Drosophila melanogaster: one gene and its partners. The protein of the gene in region 3 interacts with the protein of the main gene of each other region in a pairwise test. Each region holds a gene or a part of one and is shown on either strand. Other genes may lie near its edges.

What was found.
Region 1: the proteins of Lime (region 3) and prg interact in a two-hybrid assay, tested with the Drosophila melanogaster proteins (one large-scale study listed by BioGRID).
Region 2: the proteins of Lime (region 3) and CG18599 interact in a two-hybrid assay, tested with the Drosophila melanogaster proteins (one large-scale study listed by BioGRID).

What each region holds. Positions count from the first base shown.
Region 1 is NT_033779.5:8,462,509-8,467,194, reverse strand, and holds prg (piragua), read right to left. Parts: upstream 2,708-4,686; 5' UTR 2,586-2,707; coding exon 2,421-2,585; intron 2,363-2,420; coding exon 851-2,362; 3' UTR 501-850; downstream 1-500. UniProt on the Drosophila melanogaster protein: May be involved in transcriptional regulation. The function of this protein is unclear.
Region 2 is NT_033777.3:18,265,918-18,271,672, reverse strand, and holds CG18599 (uncharacterized protein), read right to left. Parts: upstream 3,885-5,755; 5' UTR 3,609-3,884; intron 2,189-3,608; 5' UTR 2,117-2,188; coding exon 1,198-2,116; intron 1,081-1,197; coding exon 572-1,080; 3' UTR 501-571; downstream 1-500. Other genes in the region: Vps39 (vacuolar protein sorting 39), read left to right, coding at 1-293.
Region 3 is NT_033778.4:9,869,674-9,874,337, reverse strand, and holds Lime (linking immunity and metabolism), read right to left. Parts: upstream 2,869-4,664; 5' UTR 2,589-2,868; coding exon 1,159-2,588; intron 1,097-1,158; coding exon 1,063-1,096; 3' UTR 692-1,062; downstream 1-691.

The DNA of each region.
Region 1 (4,686 bases), on a different chromosome or scaffold from region 3:
CATACACATAAATCGCCTGCGAAGTGACCCTTGGCAATGGCGAAGGTAATTGCGTACTTACCGCTCTCAGCGGAACCTGAACCTAACCAAAACCAAGCGAACCGTAAGGTGGATTCGTATTCCCTCGATTGCGTGCCCGTTTCGGGAATAGATTTATCGTCTCGTTTGAAATCCGCACTTTATTTATGGTAGCTTGGCCACATTTCTTTGCGGATCTCCCACTCCAATACTTATTATTTATTATTCTATCAAACGTTACGTTACACTGTCAGCACCAGCACAATTCACTACGCGCACTTCGAGGCGATTACGAGATTTCGAGGCGATCAAGATCCGAGAGCGCTGGTCGAGAGGCACTACCGTACGGGGCGAACTCAAGAAAGAATCTGCAGCGGTGCAGTTGCTCTGAAGATTTCGGAGAAGACCTTCTTCGTATCGGACAACGTGCAACTTGTTGCACGCAACATGTTGGTCTGAGACGACTGCTAATACAAAATGTTCAAATACCTTACTTGATATTTTATTTATATATTAAGTAAACCTACTTTAAATAGGTTTAACATAACTTAACTTTAAGAAGTTTTTTATAGAGCAGAAAACTTTCTTTAATATCTTATGAAAAATAATATCTTCACAAAGTCATACGATCTCGAAGAAAACCGTTTCAGATTTGGCCTTTTATTAAAAACCACTAAGCTACATTTTGGCAGACAATAGTCAGATGACTTAAACTATACAGATTCATTAACACCAATGGATTCTATGTTGACCTGAACGACTAAAACAGCCTTGACCTACAAAACTTTTCCGACCTATCAACTAAGCTTATTAAACATGTAAATATGTTGTTCTATTCCTCGGGACGAGTCTCGCTGTAGAAGCCCAGATTCATTGTGGGAATCATGTTGCTGTAGAACGACAGTTCCGCTGCCGAGGGACGCACTAGCTGGGGATCCTGAACTAGCGGAGCCGTCATAGCCACTGGAGCCTTTTCGGCCATTTTTAGGGGTAAAATAGCAGCCTCTTGAGCCCGCTGGGCCATCTTGTGCTGCAACTGATGGACTTTGAGGTGATTCTCCAGCTCAATTTGATGCAGGAAGCTAATGCAACAGATTCCGCACGTAAAGCTGGGACCATGAGCCTCTAGCTCATGGCGCTGCAGTTGCTCGCGTCGGTTGAAACCTTGATTACATGTCTTGCAGGCGAACAGCGAGTCCATGTGAAGAGCTTGATGGCGTTGCAGGTCCCTCTCCCGTTGGAAAGTTCGATCGCAGACATCACAGTGGTAATAGCGTGAGTTTTTGGTTTGTGCGGCAGCCTTTTGTTTAGCCTGCAACGCCTGCTGCTGCAGATCACCCTCCATCGGGGGAATTAGACCCATTTGCTGCTGCTGCTCCATGTCCCGCCTGGTATGGACTTGCTGGTGGGCTATTAGCTTATCCCTGCGCGAAAACGAGTAGGGACAGCGTCCACATTGGAAAGCCTTTACCTCTCCGTGCGAACGTGTGTGGCGCATCATTTCCACAGCCGTCTGGAAGGATCGCGGACACTGCTGGCAAACAAAGGGCTTGACACCGCTATGAATGCGCATGTGCTTGGTCAGATTTGTATTCCGCGAGAAACTCTTGGAGCAAACGTTGCATGTGAAGGGCCTCACGCCAGTGTGCACGATTGTGTGCTTTTTAAGATCGGAGCGGCGCACAAAACCCTTCCGACAGTGAGCACACACATACGGACGGTCCGGATCATGCAGTGTCTTTATGTGCGAAATCAAAGCAGGCCGGGTAACCAGCTTGATGTTGCAAAAGTTGCAGCAGTACGGTGCGTTGGGATCGTGTGCAGCCAGCTCGTGCTCTTGACACTCGGCGGGCAGAGTGAACCCAAGATCACAGTATTGACAGAGGAACGCTCGTTTTGGCCGTGCCTCCGTGGTGTTGGCGTTGTTGGCAACGGACTGTTGAGCCGCCATCTGGGCCGCATCCATGCCCAGTGGCATGTCGACGTCTTCGCCGTTCTGGCCATCTTCCTCGTCCTCCTCATCGTAGTCTTCCTCCTCCTCCTCATCATCGTCGTCATAGTTTTCGTACTCCCCATCGGAGCCGAGTGCGAATTCCTCTTCACTGCTCTCTGCCAGATTCTCTGGATCAACTTCCACAATAATGCAGCCCTCCTCGGGTACGAATACTCCGGGGTTGCCATTCAGGCCTGGACGGTGCTTCGGATGATCTTTAATCATCTCCTTCAGCTGCTCCTGCAGGGACTGTTCCCGCTCCTGCATTCCTTTTCGCAGCTCGAATGCCTCTTCGAGGATCTCCAGACACCTTGAGCAAATGAGCTCCGACAAACATTCGTTGCGATCGTACTGTAGGTGGAGAAGTTATTCATGCACTTTTTCCATGGATTATAAATGGCCCACTCACCTGAACGCTCCAGAGACTCTTGGAAACCTCTGCAATGGACACATCCTTGCAAAACTGCACGGTGTCATCGAAAATGTTTAGCGAGTTGGGATCCGTATTATGGTGGCACAGGCGACAAGTGCTCACATCCTGATCCTGGGTCATGCTGATATCCGATGTATGCATTCTTCAATCATATGCATTTAAGCCGGGATTGCAATAAATTATCCAATTGTTTAAGCAAACAAAAGCCACACCGGTAGCAAATAAAACGCGTTGGTCAATGGCCAATCTACCACGATAGTATCGATATGTCGCGAAATTAAACAACATGGTCCAATCGATTGTCGGAGGAAATCGATAAGCCGCTGCACAGTGGGTTACTTAATTGAATTATAGGAATTTTTGAATATTTGAAGTTTTTAAATTAAACAATTTTGTGTTTTATTAAAGTTCAGATTTGTACCTTTCCATTTTAAAATACTTTTACTAAAATTGTAACAAAGCCATATCTAATACGCAAAATAAACGTCAGCATCTTTGGTAGCAAAAACGAAACTACTTATGTGTAATTCTTTGGGGTTGAAGTTTGATGATGCTCAAATTCAATAAAACGCAGTTTCTTTCTACACATTAAAAATTTGTAAAGCTGTTTGCATAAAATATAAATTATAAGACTTATAAGGCTCGTGTCACACTTTTAAATCAGAAATGCACTTACGATTAAAGCAGTGGGCGGCAGGTACCTAATTGATGCGTACCTATGTAGGTACACGCCGTGAACACGCGAAGCGAGAGCTTTTTCAATTGCCCGCGGACTCTTGATTAAAGCGGAGGTATTTTTCGAGTGCCGGCACTCTTTCGGCGAAAGCGGATGATTGTTTAAAAATCTGTGCGTACGCGCGTATATTCCTTTAACTAATCGGGATTGATTGCTTGCGCGGTTATTGCTTAATTGCAGTGAGATTTTTGGTTCTATTGAAAGTGGCTAATGTTCGTTTAGTGGAATTTATTGCACTGCAGATGCTGCAAATTATACTAGAACACACACACACACATCGGCAAAACAACTGTTACGCCTACGCAGCAGCGGCAACAACAACAACAACAACAGCAGCAAGGGAATTAGCAGCAACAATTTTCCACCCATAGAGGGAAATAACTGTTCCGTGAGTTTATACAATTTGGGCTGTATTTGTTGTTTTCCACCCACGTACTTTTTGTCTTTATTATGCTCCTGCCGCTTCTCCTTCTTTCGCTCCTTTTCCCTACCCACCTCCCCTCTTCCACTTCTTTTCTCTCCCATGCGGTTAGTGTGTTATTCCCGTCCTTAAGGAATAAAAGCAACAGCAACCCCGTGTACATTTATTGTTCTCTCCCCCGATGCACGGAGAGAAATTTGATTTTGATGTGTAATCAGGTTCAATTTTATTATTTAGATTATATGCATAAAATGATGAACTGATTGGACCACATTGCTAAAGGAAACACAGGGTTTTTTTTTTACAATTTTGAATCAACTACTCCAAAAACATAAACACCGTATGAATGATGATCGCAAATTTCAATGGAATAGTTTTTTTTTTCTGTGTACCTATCATCCTGTTAACCCAAGCTTTGCCCTCGCACCCTGTAGTTCTCATGAGTGTTAAATTTTCTGCCACCAAGTCCCTGTTAATTTTTGGTTATTGGGATTCCTCACTTTTCACAGTTGCCGTTGCGCGTATGAAAATGAATTTGTGCATTTATAATTCATAAATAGGACTATAAAAAAGAGAATTTATAATTTCATGAATTTACCGAAATTGGGGTCTTTAAAATGCGTCTATTAGCCTATTTAGGTAGTGATTTGTAGTGAGTTAGTAGTGAGTAGAACGAAAGCACTCTAGCGTATGCACTATCTGCCCTAAAAAGTTTGAACATAAAGATAAAATATAATTGCTTAAGTGAAATAAGCGCAAAGATTGCATTCGAGCTTAATGGTCTGATTAAAGTCCCTAGAAGCAAATCTATATGATATCACCACACCGAATTAGTAAATATCCTTACCCTACGAGACTTCTGCTAACTTAATATTTACACTTGCATACAATTACCCCTAAACATAGGGAACATGCCATTTGCCGGCCACATGAGAGTGACTTCCAATTTTGTGTACAATGAAAAACAACTGAAGATTGCTGTCCTAAACATTCCACTCGGCAATTAAGTGCTCGGCAATGATCATTCGATGAGGAAAGTCCAATCAGCAGATCAAATGAATCGGTGCCGTGACTCAAGCTAGGTC
Region 2 (5,755 bases), on a different chromosome or scaffold from region 3:
ATGACATGCCCATGCCCCAGCTGGAGAAATACTTGGAGAAATCTATACGTAAAATGATGGCCGACAAGCACGAGATGCAGATGATGTGCGGCTTCCTGGAGGCAGAGTCCACGCGCCTGGAGAATGCCTTGGAGGAGCAGCGAAACATTAGCTTCGAGTTAAACGAGTCTAGTGTGTGTTCCGAGTGCAAGAAGCGTTTTCAAACCCAGTCCGCCTTCGTGCGCTATCCAAATGGGCACATCGTGCACCTATCCTGCCACGATCGGCTCGCCAGGGCGGCTGCTCAGCAATAAGTGAAATACTCCAATGTGATAACTGATCAAGGTATAAAGTGCGAATTGAGTGTAAATGTCTGTATTATTCTGTTTTTAAATAAGCTTTTTCAGTACTCGTATGTAATGGATATACTGCAATGCTTATACAATATAATATAGTTTGCATTGATTGATTGTAACAATCAACTTGCAGCTAATCATCAACAATTAAAGACAAGCAGAAGTATAGAAAACCGATATTGTACATATTTATTTGACTATATTTACAGGAAACTTGCTTTGCACTGGCGTGGTTTTTAGGCCTCCTCGCTGCCGTCCATGAGGCTGTCGCCGTCCAGGGAATCGTTACAGATGGACAAATCCGACTCGGACTGCGCTCGACTCAACGGCGGTAATGCGCCCGAAAGCGACAGCGAGTGCTTGCTATCCTCGTTGTCCTCCTCCTGCAGGCTGGGCGAGGCTGCACTGCATCCGTTTGTGCGTTCCGTGGACACAGAATGGGCCGCATTGGCCGACACGGATACTTGATTGCCCAATAACGATGTACCTGGCAGTTGAGTTTGCCTTATCAATGCCAGCCGTTGTTGTGTCAGTTCCAAGTGGTGCTTGCGCCACTTGATCCGCCTATTCTGGAACCACACCTTCACCTGAGCCTCCGTTAACTTTAGGGTGTGTGCCAAGTAGAGCCGCTCCGGGCCGACCATGTACTGCTGGCGCTCGAACTCCGCCTCCAGGCACTCCAACTGCTCCGGCGTGAAGATTGTCCGGACGCGCTTGTTCTTCAGTGCGCTCTTCTTGTGAGAATCTGCCGAATCACAAAATGATGATCAAATGGAGGTATTAGATGTGCACACACTATGTTTACTTAATACCCACTTATGATCAAATCATGGGTTATTCATCGACTGAAACACCTGCTTACCCGACTTGAGTTTTTCCCGCTGAAAGCTCAGGGTGGCCTGCTGCTGAGCGTGGTGTTGCTGGTGGAGCTGCTGCAGGCTCTGCAGGGCGGAGGGAGCTGCTCCGACGGCGGCGGCAACCGCTGCAAATCCCGCCTGGTGCGGATGCGGATGCTGGTGTCCGCCGTGCAGGTAACGTCCATTACCGGCGACACTATCACAATTGAAGTTGTTTACACTCGGGCTGCTGTTGTTGTTGCCACTGTTGCTGCCGCCGTTATTGTTGTTGTTGTTGTTGTTGTTGGGGTTGCTCGTGTAGCACTTGTTGTTGTCGTCACCGATGATGTTGTTGTTGTCGTGCAGGGAGAGATTGATGGCATTGTTGTAGTCCTTGCGCTGGCTCTGCAGGCCCAAAATGGCGGCGATGGTAAAGGACTTGCCCACGTCGAGGGAGGAATGCGCCGCTGCCGCCTCGATGAGCTGCGCGTGCGACGTCGCAGTGGCTGCCGCCGCCGCCAACTGTTCCCGGTGGTTGCTGTTGCTGTTGTGGCTGCTGCTGTTGCTGCTGCTACTGCTGTTGTTGTTGTTGTTGCCGGTGGTGGGTGTCGGTGGGTGTGGGTGGTGGCCATCCTGGTGGTGGGTGTGCAGCTGCTGATGATGATGATGTTGCTGCTGCTGCTGCTGCTGCTGCAACTGATGATGCTGCTGCTGGTGCTCCATTTGGTATGAACTCTGACCCGCCGAGACAGCGACCGCCGCTGCTGCAGCCGCTGCCAGCGCTGCATGATGCGGTTGACCATGTGCATGAATGCCCCCACCCAAACCTCCAAGTCCGGCGACCGACGATCCCCCGCCGCTGCCGCCGCCACTGGCTTGTGTGTTATGCAATGCCAGGAAGTGCGACAAGGGATTTGCGTGATATTTGGAAGGATTCTGCAGCATGCTTAGGTATTTGCCACTGTCTCCGAGTTGTCGTCCGCCTTCTGCCGCTGGCCTCCGGGATTCTCGGTCGCTCTGCAAATGGGAGAAATGCCTCTGTTTAATTGTTGCTCTGCTGTGGAGCTTCTGTGGCTGCCAGGTGTCAACGACTCCCCGATTAAATCCACAATTAAGTGAAATGTGATCGCTGGCTGAAGAAGTTGCTCTACCATGAAGTGCTTGGTCAGCTCAGCTAAGTGGTGGGAGATGGAACAATGGAACTACAACTGGTTGGGACGGACCTTTTGATGACTTTCCCTACACAATGACAATTTTGGAACTGAAGTATTACTAACTTAATATAAGTAGAAACAACAGTATCTAAGGTTAACAATACCAATATTTCTAGTTTACAATCGTCTATAAACATGGTCCTATCAAATTAGATATTAAAATAAGAACAATATCTTTAATTATAAGAAGTAAATTTTCTTTTAAAGGATCTTTAATATTTTTAATCAACAGAGGAATCTGCAACTTTTGCATATAAGTTAGAATTATAACTCTATATTTCAATGTTAAAATGGATCCTTTTTGTACATTATTTCTGGCATTCATTACAAGGGTTAAAATTTTATAATATCAGCTTATGTAGAATAATTTTGAAAAGTGTATAATTTGCTTAATGCCAGCTTCTCTCGCTCGCATGCATTGTGTTTGCCCAGGTAAGCCAAACCTGAATCGTTTTGTGGCAATGTGATAGCCTAATTGAGACTTTGTCACAGTTGCTGCTTCATTGTGGCAGATGTAGTTGCTCTCCCAGGTGAAGCACCATCCCAAGTCCTCAGCACTGTTGTCGCTCATTGTTTGTGCTTTAGGCCAAATATGCGAATGTCTCAAGCTGCATTTAAGCTGATTTGACTAAATATGCGAGGCTAATGTCGTGTGCGGGCCAAATGAGCTTCATTAGGAGAATGCCATTTGGGTGTAACAAGTGGATTTCACACACATTCCGGCTGTGAATTTCTAGCTACATTAATTGTGGAGCTTAGATCCTGAGAGAAAAGCTAGTATGTTATCCTATTTTGTATCTTTCTAATCACTCATGTTCATTTATCAGTCTTTGTTCAATTTGAAAAAAATTAATAACGATAAGAAACTTGTAAAAACATATAAGCACTTTAAATCAAATTTAAGCTATCATCTGAGCTATCATAAATATGATTTTGTATTGAAAATTTTAGGTATTTATCTTATTGAAACATACAGATTTTAGCTGAATGATAAATTTTTAGAGAATCCGTTATAAAATTTTAAGCATTGAATGCATTTTAAAATATTGGGCATAATAAATTATACATTATTGCTATGTTTACAAGCTCAACGCTGGTAAATCTCAAATAATTCTTTTAATGGCATATCCAAAATCAGAAATCTTTTTTAGTAATCTTGAATTAAAAAGCCGACGGAACTCGATTTGGGCCAAAAATTCTTATAAATTGCAAAAGTTACAAACCTTCTAAACCAATGAAGTTCTAATTACATTGATTTCAATTGCAGATGTAATCAACTCAAAAGATAATCCAAGCGTGAGTTAATCAGTTTTCAGTACTTTCACTATTATTTTCACGAACACAGTTTTCAATCTGAAAAATTTGCTTTTCCGACGGCACTGCAAAAAGTGTTGCCTACAGTTCTGCGCCCAACGGCAGTAACGGAAATCGAATAGAAAATCGAGCGGAAGTTTAACTGCCGGAAACACATGCGAACGCGAACGTGTTGCAAACTGAACTGAACTAAAAGTTCGTGGCCGTAAAATTTTTACATTATCGGCAGCGAACGCCGGCAGCGAAGCTGGCAGCGCTGCTTTCTGTTTGCTGCGGTGCGCTTGTTTGTGTCTGTGTGCGGGTGAGTGATTCTTTTTGTGGGTGTGCGTGAGTTGCCGTTGTGATTTTTCTATCCGCTTTTCCTTTGGCTTTTTTTTGCTCTCAACCAGGGTTGTCAAAACTTTCACTAATAGTATTCATTAACTAGTAATTAAGTGCTTTGAACTTTGTTCGTTTTCATGAATACATTTAATTTTTTGTGCTAACGAAAACAGAATTAAATTTAAATGAAAAATTGTTTTAAATAATCTTGGTATCTTGGTTTTTGACACAATTATGTACATACCTAATTTTTTATAATTAAATTTGTTACAATTATTTGTACCTTAATTTAGTTTAAATCTATTATGTTCCTAAGCATTTGAACGATTAAAGTGTACATTTAGAAAGTCTCTCTATTATACATTCATATATATGATATTTTAAAACATATTGGTACAACACATCCGAAAGATATAGATTTATTATTTGTCTTTTAAAAGCAATATCTTCAAAACAGCAAAGCGTTAAAATCTCCTTTTTAGACTTTCGCCCATGACTTTGTTTTGCTACAGTTGACAACCCTGCACTCAGCTTAGATCAGAGCCATTGAAAGAGCCAACAAAGGAAAGAAGGAGATGAGATGTAGCTGAGGCATAAAAACATCGTCAACCGAAGCCTCATCATCATCATCGTCATCATAATCATCGTTGATAGTCATCGTCATTATTCAGGAGCATCCACCAGGCAGTTACATAAAAAGGAATCACCCACCAAAGGGAGCAATCCACCACCAGCCACCCGAGCCACCCACCTATCAGAGCAACCCTGCCCACACACCCATTGGTAAACACCCGTTTCCCTTCCGAGGGCGAGTGTATAAAAAGTTATTGAAATTATGATATAAATGGATAATTGGCTCACTGGTAGCGTCTCCCTCGCTCATGGCAAATGGGCGGTACCTAAGCAGTCGGAAAATATTGCGGGACAATATGGCGACGCTGGATTATTAATATTTTGTGAATAGGTGGAAAAGCCACTGGGGCAGGGCTATGTGGGGATAGACATAATTAATGAAGCAATAAGCTAAGAAATTACATCGTAGATACATCATAAGTATAAATATCTAAATTTGGACAGGTAAAATCGACAAAACAACGCACATTAATAATTTGTTTTAAATCTTAATTTAGTTAAATTTTCACTGTATACAACATGATATTCAATGTCGAAGTGCAATTCAGAGTCGAATTACCTTTAGATTTAGTATTTCAGTTTACGACTTATCAGTAAATAAACTTTGTCAATTTCATTTTATGGTCCTTTTTGGCCGATGTTAGTAGTATTAAGTCTTGGAAACGTTTTTGGCCCAAATCCCCAAACTAAGTTGGCAATACGAACTATCTACAGCCGCAGGTCAACCCCAAACCCAACCCCAATTAGCCGTCCCCTTGGCTCCACCCTTTTGCCTGCCAAACGGGTGTTCAATTTACCGTTTGATAAACTACCCGGAATGCCAACGATCATTACGAGCCAGCGAAACTGGCGGAAACGGAAATGGAAAGACGAAGGAGGCCCCAATTAGCGGCCCATCAAAGTAAATCAATGCAAGAGCACGTGGAGCGGGCAGACAAGGAAAATGCCAAAAAAGAACAAAGCAAATGGCGAGTTTACACACAAAAAAATAAAACAAATGTAATCCGTTAGCTTTGAAGAAACTTTAAATGTATGTACATAAAATATAGTAAAAGTAGTAGATGATTTTTCACTGCAAGAATTTGCTTGCTATGCAGTTGCA
Region 3 (4,664 bases):
AAGAATGTTTGAATTTATTTTGGATTCGCAAACTAAACACCAGACGAACATAAAGATTAGCAAGCAAGTAACAAACAAATTTGTGTAGGTTCTAAGCTCAATTTTCTGATAACGTTCGCGTTGCTCAGCCGAGAAACTGGAAATAAAAGGCGTACTTAAGCATTATGTTCCCTTATTACTTTATTTATAAATTATTATTTAAAATTATTTAACAAGTTGTTTTAAAATAATATATTTCTTAATTTAAATAAACAGCGGATTATGACCCGTTTGAAATATTTTAAAGAACGAAAAATGCCTTTCGTACTGCAAGTACTAATATTACAAAAATAGTAAATGTTTCGGGTTAGAATGATATGTTATAAATTATAACGCATTTATAGTTAGGACAAATATGATAAAGATGAAAAAGAATATGGATAAGTGAATAATATGTTTACACATACATCCAAATTCTTTATTATTTAGATCTCTGGCCTGCTGAGAAAATTGTTATATTTTAACTCGATGCAAAAAACATGTGTACGTCAAATATCTTTTGCTCTTAAAGGGACTATCAGCAAAATATAAACGGGGGGTCGGCTTTCCACTTTAGGTACTTCGGGTAACCGGAGAATACCCACTGCGAAGAGCCTCCATTTTTAAGGGACTGAAGGACACTTAGTAAAAAATAAAAAATCACAGTTTTTATGGGTTTTGCTTGGGCGTTTCTTTATTTCCATTTTATGTACAAAACTTATGACAGAAACGGACGAATTTGAGCGTCCGAGTGCTTAAAATGTATTGCAATGCTCAGCGTTTTTAGTTTCTTTATTATGACAAGAAGTTTGGGGCTTTGGGACTTCGACGTCGAGATCCAGATCCAAAGTGCTGAGGCTACAGAATAAATCGCTTGCGAGTGCGATATGTATCCATGCTATTATGTATGTACATCGTACATAGTCAGAAGCTCCATGAAACGAAGTGATATTTTATAAGTAAAAATAACAAGGGCGCTATTGGCTATCTTATTAGCTCGAATATTTGATACCCCAAGCTTCTTAAAATCCAGCCAAGTTCAACCTATAAGTATGAATCGCAGTCCAGCCATAGATCCCTAAAAAACAGTCGAAAATTCAGAGGTGTTGTATGACGATGATGAAAACTATCTGAACATACGGATTGAAGTAGGGCGAACGAAGTGGATATGTCCGTTTGGACGTGATCGTAAAACCCGATTCCAACTGCTCGGTTTGCTGACGTGGCGCAACCAGATACTTGTCCGCCCGCTCGCTGGCCGGTTGATACTTTGCTGCCGCCACAGCGTTGAATATTCGTGTGCTCCATATCTCCTTTTTCGGTGCCTCGTTCGGCGACGACATTGGGGAGACAGGAACCTTCGCGGATACAGGCGAATCTACAGATTTTGGATATTCGGGATCAGCATTTACTCTGCCCGGGAAAGCAATCCCGTGTTTGACCTTCATGTGCATCAGGAGGAAGGTCCGCCGCTTGTAGCGTTTCTTGCATGTGAGGCACTTATGCTGCTTGGTCAAATTCTTCTCTAACCGATTCACAGCCAGCTCTTTATTCCCGTGGAAGTGGCTCTCGTGGTATTTCAGCGACTGGCGGGAGCTCAATCGCTTTCCGCACCAATTGCACTCGAACTGACCTTGATTGAAAGCCAAGGATTTGGCATTTGGGGGCTTGGGTTCGATCAGAACCGCCGATCGGGACTTCCCTGCACCCGCATCCTGAATCGGATCTTGTGCTTGGGGTCGGGGATTTTCCAAGACCGGTGGTTCCTCCACCCTTGTGAGAATTCCTTCCGGCACACAAAGGTTTTGCATTTCAAGCGAAGTATGTTGGTTACTTGGAATCGCGCTTGCCATTGGATGACCAGAAGGCTCCAGAGGAGATTGCGGTGACATTGGAAGTTTTTGGCGCAGTTCGAGTGGCCGATGACCTAAAAACTGCACTGGTGGCTCATAAGCCGTATGCTGAGCGGTCATATACATGGGTGGTATCTGAATCGGATGTTGATGAACCGCAGGCATTTGAAATGGAATTTCTGGTTCGAGCGGCGGTGAGTAAAAATCCATGGGTGGCGGACAGCCAAACTCCATCCGATTGCGGTAGTGGGCATTGTGATGGTGATCCATGTCACCATGATCAATGGAATGAAATAAGTGCTGATCTGTGGGATGCACGAATGGTTTATTCATGGACTGAACAAAGGGTGTTATCGTCGGCGGAGGTGTCTGCTCCTGCGCACGCGTGTTATTCCAGGCGTTAATTTCCGCCGCATGTTGGGTGAGGTGCTCCTTGAAGGATTCAATATCATTGAAGGGCTGTTTGCACAGGTAGCACGGAACACAGAGCACGGTTCCTTCGGGAACATTTATATGTTCACTGCGAGCCAGAATCTCCTTGACCAGCGGCATATCCGTAGGATCAGTGGGTGAAAATGGTGGGGAGGGTATGGCGGATGGAATTTGCGGGTACATCTTTGCGGGATGCCTCTTTGGTTCCGTCTGGCGATGGTGGTGATGATGGTTCATGAGTTCCGTCTCTATGATCTCCACATCGCTATCACTTTCAGCGTCCATGACACTCTTCGGTTGGTGGAATTATAAATAACAACTGTTCTGTAGGATCGCTTTCACGTTAAATTCACTAGGGTGGCCGGCCATGCTTTTTAACAGTTACACTCGATCTAAGTACATATGCATATATACATATGTGTAAATAAAATATAAAGTTCCAACGCCCAGCTCACAACTGCGCAGCTCGACGTTTCTCTGCGGACTAAAAGAAGAAAAGGCGATCGCATTCTGTAAAATCCCAAATAAGAAGACTTTACTCGTTGAGTTTTTGTAAGAAACTGATTTTATTTGGAAATATCTTCGGTTTAAATAGGTGACATGAGAATCGCATCTTAAAGTAAATGGCCTACGCAGAGGCCTAAGTAAATAGTCCCCGCCTTATCGAGGTCCCACGCTCGGGCACATCTGCCTATCTTGAGCGGCGAGGACCTTATCTGTGGTCTCCCACTAAGGGACTATTTTAGGAGGCGGGGAACGATCTCAAGTGACTGACTCATGTAGTGTGCACTTAAATTACATGTTTTTGAGCAATGCACCCATGTCGCCTTAGATAACAAAATCCTAAATATAATTTATCGCTCTCGATTCATTTACATAAGATATGAACGGAGCCCAAAATTGTAAGTCTTTAAATATATTCGTGTTCATGTGTGAACACATTCTATTTATGCGATCTACGCTGTCTTCTCGTTTGTTTAGAAGTACGTTTAAGAATCAGAATAACAGCTAGACTTATTTGAGATAAGGCTAAACAAAAAAGCATTTTATTTTTGCACCATCTTATGGCAGGCATTCACAGTTCCTTCAATCGTTTTAAAGTGCTTAGAATAGTACTGATAAGCCTTTTTACTGATAAGCCTTTAATATTTTTTAAATTGTCATTAGTGTTCAACGGTTTTATGATGCCCACTTCGAGTTATGGGAACGTAGGTACAATAAAAGGACACCAATAGAAAAGAACAAGAACATTTCTTAAATACGTATGTATGTACATATGTATTTACGCCAGAAATTATAAAAGAGATGAAAAAGGATATGGTATACCCGTTTCTTGTGGAGCACGGACTTGCATTGTTAAAAATATGTACATATGTTGTTTAAATATGTGTTTAGACATGATAAGAAGGCAAACTATAAATATGTCCTATTTATGGGCTGGAATAAACATGTCACTGGACAGCATAAGTGGCAACTACAGATAAGTACGGTTGCAGCGGCCCATTGCCGAAGTGTCAAGAGATAGGTCTCAAACATAGATTTAAGAATAAAACTCAGATGCATTTACCAACGTAGACTGCGGCGTCTTACAAGCGCTGCATTATATAATTGGTTGATAAGAACCTATGTAAGAATGAATAAAAGGCGAAGCCCTCGCAGCAGCGAGTCAGTTAGATTCAAACACCCGAATTGAACTCATTAAGTGTACGCACAAGTTTATAGTGTGACAGTCTCAAAAGTATGTAAACTTGGAATTTGTTGTTTATTTTCTTGTATATTTAATATTTTTAATTTGTTTTTTGATTTATAAGTAAAATAAATATTGTTTAATTATATTTTATAAAAAAAATTGCGTTTAATTAAGCAAAAAACCTTTAATTTTTAGCTTTAAAGTCAAAAATTCAACTTATTTCACAGTGTGTAAACAGTTTCTGTATATCTTGGGTATATCCTTTTTATCGAACATTTTGATTTAAGTACCAGGTATATATATTCATTTGTGTTAATATCCAAGGTTCACTTTATTTATATCCTAACATATATGGCTTACCTGAAGATCTTTTTAGTCCATGTGGTCCATGAAGTACCGAACACGCACGAACGTGCTCGATCTGTACTCTACCTAAAGCTACACACGTTTGGTTATGTGTTCGTCCACCCGGAAAGTCCTTAATTTTTATAAAAGGGTACCATTATAAAGTTATTTTTCACAAGTAATTGTAGATTAATATGTATCAAACATATGTATCAAAATTAACGGACATTGCTACATACATATATCGACTTAGCTGATCACCAAGTCTCCTTAAAGGATGTCGCTTCACAACTCGTATCATATTATTAAATGCTTTATGAGGCCTG